Lytechinus pictus: one gene and its partners. The main gene of each other region encodes a partner of the protein of the gene in region 3 in a complex. Links are inferred from orthologs where the notes say so. Each region holds a gene or a part of one and is shown on either strand. Other genes may lie near its edges.

Region 1 (3,757 bases), on a different chromosome or scaffold from region 3:
ATTAATATTCTAAAAATAATAAAATATGGTAAAAGTAGCTCATCACTAGACACTTTTGTTGTTTTCTCAACTTATCCCATAGAAAACACATGTTCGGTAATATACAATACTTTTTTCAAGTGACCAAAATATTTCACATGCGAAGAGGGGTCCGATCGATTGGAAGCTAATATCGTAAAAAGGTAAAACGATTTCGGCAAAATTTTTACATATTTATATTTTGTAGGTAATTGTGTATTTATGGTGAAAGTTTGGGGTGAATTTTGTGAGAGTAATGTGTTCGATATCATACAGTATGATTGAATTTGAATTCATGATAAGTGTGCGGTAATACGATTACGATCCACTTCCATATATGTATACCTGACTGTCCCGAGTATTCCTGAATTGACAACCTAAAGTAAACAAGTCATGACAAGTTGACCTTGAAGTAGATGATCTACAACGATATATTATTCTTAATTTTTGTATTCTTGACTTATGACTACACTGAGGGCATGTAATAGATTTTCAAAGAATACATTGTCATTATTATTTAAGGATGAAGAGTTTGTGAATTTGTATCACCAGGCATAAGACTAAGACTAGAGCAAAAAGAGACATTTTGGGGGTATTTTATAGTCCATCAAGCTCAATCAAAGGGAAAGTTGTTCACATTCACACATCTTTGACTTTGTCGCATATTTTTGCCAATGGCGATGCCATTGAATTGGCCAATTAAATTGGGAGGATCTCCATGATAGCACTGCCACTAGCCACTAAGTTTAGCATGCAGGGGCCCGTTTCTCAACACCGTCATAAGTCTAACTTCTTGACTAAATCGGAGATAGTGAGCTACTTGTCCGCTAACCGTTTCACGAAGCCCTCTTTACCAAGATCGGGTACAACAACCTCACTAAATATTTATGACACATCCGAACCTGTCATAACTTCTTTCTTTATGACGTAGTAGCATCACGTGGGTAGACTATGACATGCAAAAGTGCCTAGAAATTTTAAAATTATAATCTTACGTAATCAATCATAGAGGTTAAAATCACATCACAAAACAAGTGGGATAATGCATTCAATGATAATTGTAATACAAATAAACTATATAAACTGTTGGTAAAACGCCACAAAACTATTCATTTTGAAATAGTAAAATGATTTAATCGATAAAGATTCTACCACGTCAGGCCATCCATAACTGAACTCGTATTTGTTGTTTTCAGACCCCTATTAACAGTTGGATGAATTCTAATTTCTATCTCTAATTTATGCATATAATTTGTCCAATATCGTATCTTTCGGTATCAATGATTAAAAATGTTTCGTTAAACTATATTTTGATGACGTTTGGAATCGTAAAAGTCCGTATAATTATCACCATTTTACAAAAAAAAACGTTATGGTTTACTTTCGTAAACTATTAAAATTGGGTCTGCCGGGCCGGGGGTACCCATCTCAACGTCCACAAGTGATTTTTTAGTCATGAAATGAATTATTCATAATTTGATTTTCTCTGCAATTGAATGCTCCAGTCTTCATGGTCTAAGTATGTATGATGCATAATTCACCTGTGCTATTATTTTGAAAAGATTTTTTTCCCAATTCATCATAATATTTGCAATTTTGTCATATCATATTTATAATTTTTCTTTTTGAAAATTATGCTATTTTGTGACTAAGGCTACGTCTCGTCTGCTCTTTTTACCGATAGTATCGATATCAAGGTATTCTAGTTAGGAAGCCTTTCGAGAAACAGGTTTAGTAAGATTGGAACTAACTCCGTGGTTGGTGGATAAAGATATGCCGATAAGGCGATACATGTATATGACTAACTTGTCCATGTGTTGAGAAACGGGCCCCAGGGCCTTCACAAAAATCAGCACGTGGGACCACAGCACACAGGCACGGAGTAACTAACGGTCCGAGAGCACATGATTATGATAAGAAAATTACCTGCCCTCCTATTGTTATGTCAAAGAAAACAATAGGGTTGGTTGGGTTTGAAGCTCCCGTCGTCATTGCAAACTTTTTAGGACAAGCTTAAGCCAGAGAAACGTGATGAAATTGTGTTCCAACTTCCAAGGGCAAGGTTTTAGCACACCACCACTGCATGCACTAGCCACTCTCTCACGCGCGGTATCGAGGTCGAGAGCGTACGGTATACCAAAGGTGAAGGCGGGTACGGTGATCACGAAGCTGCTGGTTAGACCACTCTAAATGAGCGCAAAGGACCTCAAAGTTAGTAGTTACTGATATCTAGACTCTGGTAAGTAAAAAAAAAACAACTTGGAATTCTAACTTAAGTTTTATTTAGGCCCTAGGTCTCATTTTCATATGCAAGTAATGAAAGAAGCTTGATTTTACCAAGAATAAGATTCAACTACCGGTATTCGTATCATGATATTGTAGTTGGTCTTGGATAATAAGATACTCAAAGTTAATGCATACCCGAATCGGGATAGCGTCGCAATTAAAGAGGCGAAGTAAAGTTTTGCCTGTGATGCGGTGGGTCATCAAACCCTGTGCATCCCCACTAAAATTGAAAATGAAAATATAGAGAAGGTTCAGAATAATATATCTAGCCATAATATAGATTAGAACATATATGATGGGGGAGTGGAAATACACACCAAAATATGGCTTTATTCCGTCAAATTTCGAGCAGGATCTAGTGCGTGTAATTGTCCATAGACATCAGTTTATTTAACTAAGTTAGTCAGTAAAGCCAAAGGGTCTGTGAGTCTAGACTAGTCGAGCTATCGGCTGATAATCATTAAAATACCCCTTCCGGTATCAGCGCTTCTCGCTAGCATAGCGGGAAGAGGTCTTGACCACTCCTAGTACCAATGAGGTCCAAACATTACATGTATGGACCTCATAGGCGACATCAGTAGTATTTTTGGTTAGAAATCTCTGAGAACAGGATATTTATATATTATATCACAAGTACAAGCTATATTCCTTTCTCTTATTTAAATTATAATTTTATAGTGTAAATGCATCGTTAGCAACAACAAAAAAATGAAAGAAATGAAGGGGAACTTACATTTTCACGGCTTTTTCCTGATTTTCTGGGCAGTTGCTCTTCTCTTCTGACTCGCGATCGAAGCTGATATGAAGATCACGTGATTCGCGTTCTCGTCAGCTGATCGGTTGGTTATTCTTTTTGTCAGACGTTAATAATATATATTTTATAATGCTAGCATTCATCGCTAATTTAGGTGAAAGAGATTGAAGTTAAACAGCGCCAGGTCGGAATCATAATTATTTTGGAAGAGTGTATTTATACACTCGATCTCATACCTGACGTAGACGGCGCTATTCAACAAATGCACAATCTTCAATATAAAAAATAAAACAGAAAGAACGCCTTGAACACATGCCAAAATGCCTAACGATTTCTCCGCGGCATTAACAACTATCGTAAAGGGCGCTCCATTTATTAATAAAGATGGATGCATAGCTGTCTATGGCGACAAAATTTGCCGCAAATATTTACAAAGAATTTGTGAGAAATGGTCTGAAAATGCAACAAAAGAACCGGTGAGTACCGATTAAACATTATCAATTTATTTAATAGAACATATTTCATGACTAGAGTTTATTAATTTCTAGATAATATTGCTTAGTTCTAAGCTAGGGCGGCCCAAATGCGCGTGAGTGGAGTCCCAGTTTATTAGCACGGGTAAGTATTGGGGTGTCGCCTAGAGTGGTCTTGACTGCAGATAAAACGAGGTGAGTTAGAGTCCCAACTAAGGTAAGCAAC
Region 2 (3,757 bases), on a different chromosome or scaffold from region 3:
AAGTAAAGACCTAAACTAAAGCTAACTGGCTGGAGTGTGAAGGCATTTTGAATCATGATATTGAAAATTACATTAACTACAGAAGGTTAATATTGATTCTTTAACTCACAAATTTACATGAAAATGTAATCAAAAGAGATCATTACTGTAGACTAGTTTATTATTACAACAAACATTTATTTTCCTCATTAGACTTTTTTTTTTCACTCCAACACAAGAATTCTATTCCCTTTTTTAAATGACATTTTAACCAATGATTTCTGTCACAAGTTGATTTATTAATATTCAACAAGGATACTGACAAAGTCATCAAAGCCAAGCAGAGTTCCAACAATCTCCTTGTCTGTCTTCATAACAATGTGAATCCGGGAGCCAATACATTTGTCAACAAGTTCTGAAAGATAAAATCAAAGAGCAAGAATATGATTTAGACCACAGAATCAGTCTCTTTATTGGCAGAGTTGTGTTCAAAATTTCAATCAGGCTGCCTCCAAAAAGAGGAGAAATCTTAATAGTAAATGTTTTAATACTCAACTCAATAGGTCTCTGGATTTGATCATTAAAGAAGAATGACAAGCTAGAACAGTCTAACCCATGATCCTTTCAATTTACTTCGTCAGAACAAAACACAATGTTTTATGACTGACATGTAGTTTTAGTTACAATATATTCAAATGCAACATGCAGAATCTTTTTCTTTTGGCATCAAATAGTTATAGGTTATTTAAACTAGTGCAACACATTTCTAAACTAAAGAAACTTATCAATAAGATTAAAATGTAACAACCAGTTAACGATAAACAAAACTATCAAGAAACATATCAATGAAACTCGAGAAGCAAATTAATAGAACTCTAAATAAGTTACAAGATTGTGACACACATAATGAAAAACTTCCCCATTTATAATTTTCATTTTTTGGGAGGACAATATTTCGGCAATGAAAAGTATAAGCTCAATCAAATCACTTTTCCTACTCGACCCCTAGGTCTGATATCTGACAAATTCAGTAGCGGCTGGGTTACCCACTTGCTATTTTCCAGTCAGTCCACTAAAAATAAACTCACGCACCCCACCCCTCTCAGCTTCAGGCTTGTCTTGACTACATCGGGGAGAGGAATTTTTTCTTTTTAGTCACTTTCTCATTCATCCTCCACTCTCGGCTCTAACAAGTTAGGCAGTATATTATAGACATGGTAGAGCTAGCATGGGCGTAAACTCCAGGGGGGACAGGGGGATGCATCCCCCCTACCAAAAATAGTAGGGGGACACAATATCAAATGTCCCCCCTACTATTTTTGGTCTTTCATGGAGAAAAATACATCATTCCCAATCGAAATAATACATATATTTTGGACTAAATGACCTCATACATTTTGGGTGAAAACCTCTTTTTTGCTTGTAATTTTTTTTTTAATGACCTTATATTTTGGGTGATTATTATTTTTTTGCTTGTCAAAGTTTCCAGCCCCTGTTCCCCCTACCTTTGGGGACAGATTTCTGCCCAAAGTGCCCATGAGAGATAGTAACTTTAGATACCGTCTGGCAGAAGGGATAGCTCGGTCTCAGAGTCAGAACAACTATCTTTGTGGCGGTAGCACTTTAATAGTAGGTTGGGAGTCACGTGTCCGGACACTTTATATTTTTGAAGACTTCTTTTTTGTCTTTGAGTTTGAGTCTGACTTTGGATTTAATACATTAAAATTATGAATTCAATAGTTTTAATCATCCTCTATTTTGTTCTCTATAATATTTCCTAACCAGAAGCGGATCTAGAGGGGGGGTTGGGGGGTTGCAACCCCCCCCCAAAAAAAAAAAAAAATCCGGGGACCATTTTTTAAAATCTTATCTTTTTTTTAAAACTTGTAATGCAAGAAAACGCCATTTTCACACACAGATTTTCAAAATTTTTCCCTACTGTGGGAGGGGGACACCCCCCTCCCACACCCTCGCTCGCTTGGACTCGGTCGCTACGCTCCCTCGCATACCACCCCAACCCCCCCCTTTATAAAAAGCTGGATCCGCCCCTGCTAACATCTTGTACTAAAATTTGATGAAACTTCGCTCGTGAATTTTTCCAAATGACTTTCTAAAATTGATCGTCCGGACGCACAACTTGTCCGGACATACAACAATGGTAGTGGTAGAGCCAAAAGTTCAAAACGGTATGCCGCGCGTGGCCTCCGTACTGCCAAGCCGTGCCGGCAGGCAACCGGGTCAGAGCGGGGAGTCAGCCGATGAGCTGAGCTGAGCAAAGCATGACCACGGGCATCTGAAGTTGCTCTTATTACGTTACTTAGTCTTAGATAACACCACGTTCATAGAAAACAAGGGTCTTACCAAGAGGTAAAAGGTGAGATGGGTTGGAAGTACCGGTAGTCATACTGTCGTGATTTTAATTTTATTTTGATCCACAACCCCGTCAAATCGTTGTCGTTCACCGATATGCGATAGCAACTTCCAGTCAACTCAATTTCCAGATTAATTTGTCTCTTAGAAGTCGTTGATGATGTTTTTCATTTTTTTCCCTTAAAGTTGTGTCGAAATGTCTTATAATTTAAAAAAATATGAAAAACATACCCTTTAATATTTTTTTATCCCTAAATAAAAATAATATTAAATCAATTTATGTTACTATACTTCCAATATTTTTTCTTATTGCTTCTGGCCCGTTTGGAATTCGATTTGCTTGGCCTATAGAGCGCCCTTGAATAAGTCTACGTTAGAAAAAACAAGACCACATTGCGAATTCGACCTTAATCAAAACTCAAGAAACTCCTGAGAAACGTTACCGTACTCCGCGCGGGATTCGATTGAAAGAAATCGTCGAGGAGAGATACATTTTGTCGACCAACTTTATTTTGATCTAACGTTAGGCCTACCGTTAGATGTCCCAGTTTTTAACAATAACTTTTTACAAGGGTCTTTTATTTTTTAGCTTAGCCCGCCTTGGCTTAGTTAGGCTTTATAGCTAAACCAAAGACAAGTTATCATCAGCTCACCAGCCCAGGTCGCAGTGCACTCAGGCTCAAGGTCTGGAGAGCTCTGCATGCCATTCGTCTTCTCCGCGTGTGATTGTCCCTTGTGAGTATGATCATTTTATGAAAATGCCCCAGGGGTCAGCTGATGGAAGGATTCTAATGATTCAATAGTGTATTTTAGCATCGAAGCTGAAGCTTTGCAGACACTTTCTACCAATCAATGGACATTAGTTGATTATTAGACTTTAGACTTAGTTAGACTAGAGGTCATTGTCAAAAGTTGGTGCACAAGTGCTGGATCTGGATTAAACTCTGGATAGCACACGATCAAATTTTGTAAAAATTGTAAATGTGTCGTTTGTCCAGACTTCTGTTTTGATTCACCGATTTTTGACAAAGGCTCCTTTGTTGAAAGGCTTTTGACAAATTATCAGCGATTTAGGACTAACGTTAGGCCAATAGAGAATTTAAAAAGTGTCTGTGAAGTGAATGCTAAAACGGTGCAAGACTTGAATTCTTAAAGAGTTTTAGCTTTGGAAACAGGAACTAACTTTAGTAAAAAGTAGCTTGAAAATGAACTTAGCCCAAGCATAGGAAATCTGTTGATGTCTGCCGTGACTGAAATAGGACTAGTATTGACCGGTGGACCCCCTTTAACTTTTACGTAAGATAAAATAATTGGACTTTTTTTTAACATGAATTTTAGACAAAGTTTGAGTTGATATTATTTGTCTCCGGTTGATTGTTCCCAAGTGTGCTAAAATCTCCAACCTATT
Region 3 (3,757 bases):
GTGTCAATAGAGCATACCATTATTTCCCCTGATGAAAGCGTCACCATATTTGTTCTTGAGCTGACCGTTGACATACTCTTCTGTCTGCTCCAAGGCGATGTTCATGTATCCATCCAAGCAGGCAAGAACTCCTGTAAAAAAAGATGGTAGTAATGATAGTACTTAATGATGATGGTGATGATGACAAAGATGATGATGGTGATGATGATAATGGTGATGATGATGACGATGGTGATGATGACGAAGATGATGATGATGATGATAATAATAGTAATAATAATAATAATAATAATAATAATGATAATAATAATAATAAAAATGACAATAAGAAAAAAAATACTACTAGTACTAGTAAAATGATAATAAAATGAAATAAAATAAATTGAAAAAAAATTGAATAATATAAATTTCATGAGATTACAATTTTTTACATTAGATACAGAAGGATAATATGAAGACTATAAACTTTATAACAAATTTTCTGTTCTGATTATTCTGTGACATCATCTGTGAGCTGATCCATGATATTTGTTGTTTATTCGAAATTTTACATATTGCGTTATTTACAGTTCACAATGAATTAATATGTCTTTTATAGAAGCTTGCATGTAATAGTGTGTCTGGATACAAAGACACAGGATGAACACCAATTTTTTACAATTTCAAAAATATATATGATGATTTTTTATTTTTATGAAGAAATAGAAGCAGGAAGGTGATAAAAAATAAGGAAAAAAATGGGGAAAGTATGAAAAAAGATGGGAAAAATAAACAAGATTAGCAGGAGAATGAATACACATACAAAAGCCATAGATGCAATTGAGGAAGAAAGGGGAAAAGGGAGCATAAAGAAAAAAGGAATAAACACCAGATTTTTTAAATATACTGTATAGACCTAGAAGAAAAAAAGAAGAAAATGAAAGTCCTGAGAGAAGTATGCCCTTTTCTTACCTCTGTAATCTACACCTGAATTTAGTTTGACAACAACTGGTTTGCCGATGATTTGCTTTAAGAAATCACTAGGAGTTTGTTTCCTGGCTGTAGTAGTAGCAGTACTCATGATGCACAGAGCTAGTCGGTCACTACCTGACACAGCTGTTCATCCAAGTTTGAGGATCACCAAATAAAACAGCAACTCTCAGAGCTGGTGACAAAGTAGAAAAATTGACTGGAGTGAGAACAAAATAAAGCTATATAACAATTATAGAAATTATATCTATGCGAGAGTATAAGGCAAACCTATAGAGCCGAATTATATAAACTTCAGACTTTCATTCATTTCAGACTTACATCTTCAACTTGGACTGACTTTTTGACTACCTTTCCTCAGTACACAATTTTCCAAACACTATCTGCAAATCAAGGCAAACACCCATACGTTCATTACATGCCACGATGCACAGGAAAATCAAGGCACGATGCATGCAACTCTCTCTCTTAGCTGATCCCTCCACTTCTTTGGAGATTCCTGGAGTCCAGATGGAACACTTCCATCCATGGGATTGCGCGAAATTTGGTATTTTGACAAAATCTAAAATAAAGTCAAATTGTTCTATTTCACTTACCGAATGATATATATTCTCTTTGGTGACTTTTTTCTAACTTGACTTTGAATAAAGAATATTTTTCCTTGCTGTTGATGTCTGTGCTGTGCCCCTCCTTGAACAGCAATTTTCAACTAAGGAGGGCGTGCAATTTATATTCATATCAAAGACACTACAGGGTAAAGACATTACTTTACACGCAAATTGATGCAAAGCGTTACGCGAAGATGGCAAAGTGTCCAGTCTTTTCATTGTAGACTTTGGTGGACTGTTTGTTGACAAACGAACAACGGCTCGCACTGCTGGTTTTGTTCAAGGCACATAGAATTTTATTTTTTGTTAATTTGTCATTGCTTTGAATGATTTAAAAAAGTGTTATCGTCAGTAATAATAATCTAAAAATATGTTTGGAAGGTAATGCATTTATTGGTGTCCATATTTTATCAAACAATCATAGGAATTGAACTTAGACACAGTTTTAAAACTACCGATGAGTTGAATAAAGGTTATGAAATTTATTAGCGCCATCGGGCTTCCTTTTACTTCCGTGGTTCAATAAACATGCAAAACCACTTTTCAGGCCGAGGTAAGCAATTTTGCTATTTTTCATTGAATTTAAAAGCGTAAAATTTTAATATATTTATAATTTGTACTATAACTACTCACCGGATGTGCCCCGGTGAGCTTGCGAGTAACAAAAATGAGTTTTGGCAAACATTATCACAAGAAATCTAGGAAATTTTTCTGTCAAGTGCCGACGCCAATCAAGTGTGCTAGTCAATGTAAACATATCAGGTTTCATAACAAGATTATTGGAAGACGGCAAGTCGTGAAAAATAGACGGTGGAAAGTACTATGGCAAGATAATTGTCATTTTCAATCTCTATTTTAAGAATCAAATTTACTTTGAGAATATGATGAAATGTAGCTGTATTTACTATTTCAATTTGCCTGTAATGGAAACTGACAGTGTCAAAAAAATCAAGCATTTGTCCCCTCCCCCCCCCCCCAAAAAAAAGAGAAAATAAGAACAAGGTTCATGTATATCATAACCTTGTTCATAGAATGAGTGGGACAATCCCAATCTTTTGAGACAGAGCTTTTAATTGCGGGATCGCGGGACCAGCGCCTCTACTGTTTATCGGTCTACACCAATAGCTATGGCTGGGACCGAAGTAAAAAATGACAAAGTCTGATTTGACTTTCGTCATCATCTTGTCATTGCAAACATAAGTACGTCTTAACGACACCTTAATCATTCTAAAAAAGAGGAAACACAAGTACCGTCAACACAATGGGGTCTTTTACTACCATACCACATATATATAGAAAAATAAACCTTATTTATGGCAAAATCTAATGCTTATATATTCACCCTTCTTATGGAGCTGGAAATGAGCGGCTAGCAATGCAGCGCCGGAAAATATGGTCAAAGTTCTCGCGTGAAGCTAGTGTTAATGGTTAACTGGCAGGGTCAGTACGCAGCTTGCAATTAATTTTCTTTATCTTCTATGTGAAGTAATTTGGGATACAGGGGGTTTGATTCGACTTAGATAATTTCATTATGTTTATATTTATTTCTTCTTTTCAATTTTTTCTAATCTTCTTCGAATTTATAATGAAATTTAATCTAGTTTTAAATAATAATATTCACACAAAGCTGTAGAGCAGACTAAGTTTGGGGGAATTCCCGAGCGATTCCCACCGGCCACAAATAACACACACGAATTGTGACAAAGCCCAGTCAACGCCATATTTTGTGAAGTTCTAAAGCTATAAAGCGGAGAAGCTCATCCCAGCAAACTCTCTTTCCAAGTTCGTAACCAGTGCGATATCTACTATACATCATTCGATCCAGTTCATTTTCGATTTCAAAAGGCATTACATTTACAACCAAGTCCGTAACTATATATATTAATATAACTGTGCATGTGTCTGTGACTGAATTGAGCCGAGGTAACTTATAATTTAAGTTTAGAAATAGAAATTATCCTAGATGCATTTATTCTTAAACCATTAACTTGTTAAAACATGTGTTAGGTAGCAGGTAGACTAACATTAGATCTAACAACATGGATTCGAGTAGTACTAGTAGTAGACAGCTGGCAGCCGTCTGTTTCGAGGAGTTTTTTAACATTTTTTTATTTTTTTAATTTCTCCTCATACACTGACGGCTCGCTATCGTGCAGCCACCATTAGGGGACTTACAATGC

Evidence for each region. The genes of interacting proteins can lie anywhere in the genome.
Region 1: U6 snRNA-associated Sm-like protein LSm6 (region 3) and peptidyl-prolyl cis-trans isomerase H-like share a complex: the UniProt entries of both Homo sapiens proteins name them as parts of the U4/U6-U5 tri-snRNP complex. The link is inferred for Lytechinus pictus from reciprocal best matches to the Homo sapiens genes LSM6 and PPIH.
Region 2: U6 snRNA-associated Sm-like protein LSm6 (region 3) and U6 snRNA-associated Sm-like protein LSm5 share a complex: the UniProt entries of both Homo sapiens proteins name them as parts of the precatalytic spliceosome. The link is inferred for Lytechinus pictus from reciprocal best matches to the Homo sapiens genes LSM6 and LSM5.

Annotation. Positions count from the first base shown.
Region 1 is NC_087258.1:26,237,984-26,241,740, reverse strand, and holds the start of peptidyl-prolyl cis-trans isomerase H-like, read right to left. Parts: upstream 2,409-3,757; 5' UTR 2,011-2,408; coding exon 1,945-2,010; intron 1-1,944. UniProt on the Homo sapiens protein: PPIase that catalyzes the cis-trans isomerization of proline imidic peptide bonds in oligopeptides and may therefore assist protein folding. Participates in pre-mRNA splicing.
Region 2 is NC_087245.1:27,099,305-27,103,061, reverse strand, and holds the start of U6 snRNA-associated Sm-like protein LSm5, read right to left. Parts: upstream 2,503-3,757; 5' UTR 2,384-2,502; coding exon 2,341-2,383; intron 395-2,340; coding exon 299-394; intron 1-298. UniProt on the Homo sapiens protein: Plays a role in pre-mRNA splicing as component of the U4/U6-U5 tri-snRNP complex that is involved in spliceosome assembly, and as component of the precatalytic spliceosome (spliceosome B complex).
Region 3 is NC_087249.1:11,246,049-11,249,805, forward strand, and holds the start of U6 snRNA-associated Sm-like protein LSm6, read right to left. Parts: upstream 2,999-3,757; 5' UTR 2,920-2,998; intron 1,145-2,919; 5' UTR 1,061-1,144; coding exon 952-1,060; intron 132-951; coding exon 18-131; intron 1-17. UniProt on the Homo sapiens protein: Plays a role in pre-mRNA splicing as component of the U4/U6-U5 tri-snRNP complex that is involved in spliceosome assembly, and as component of the precatalytic spliceosome (spliceosome B complex).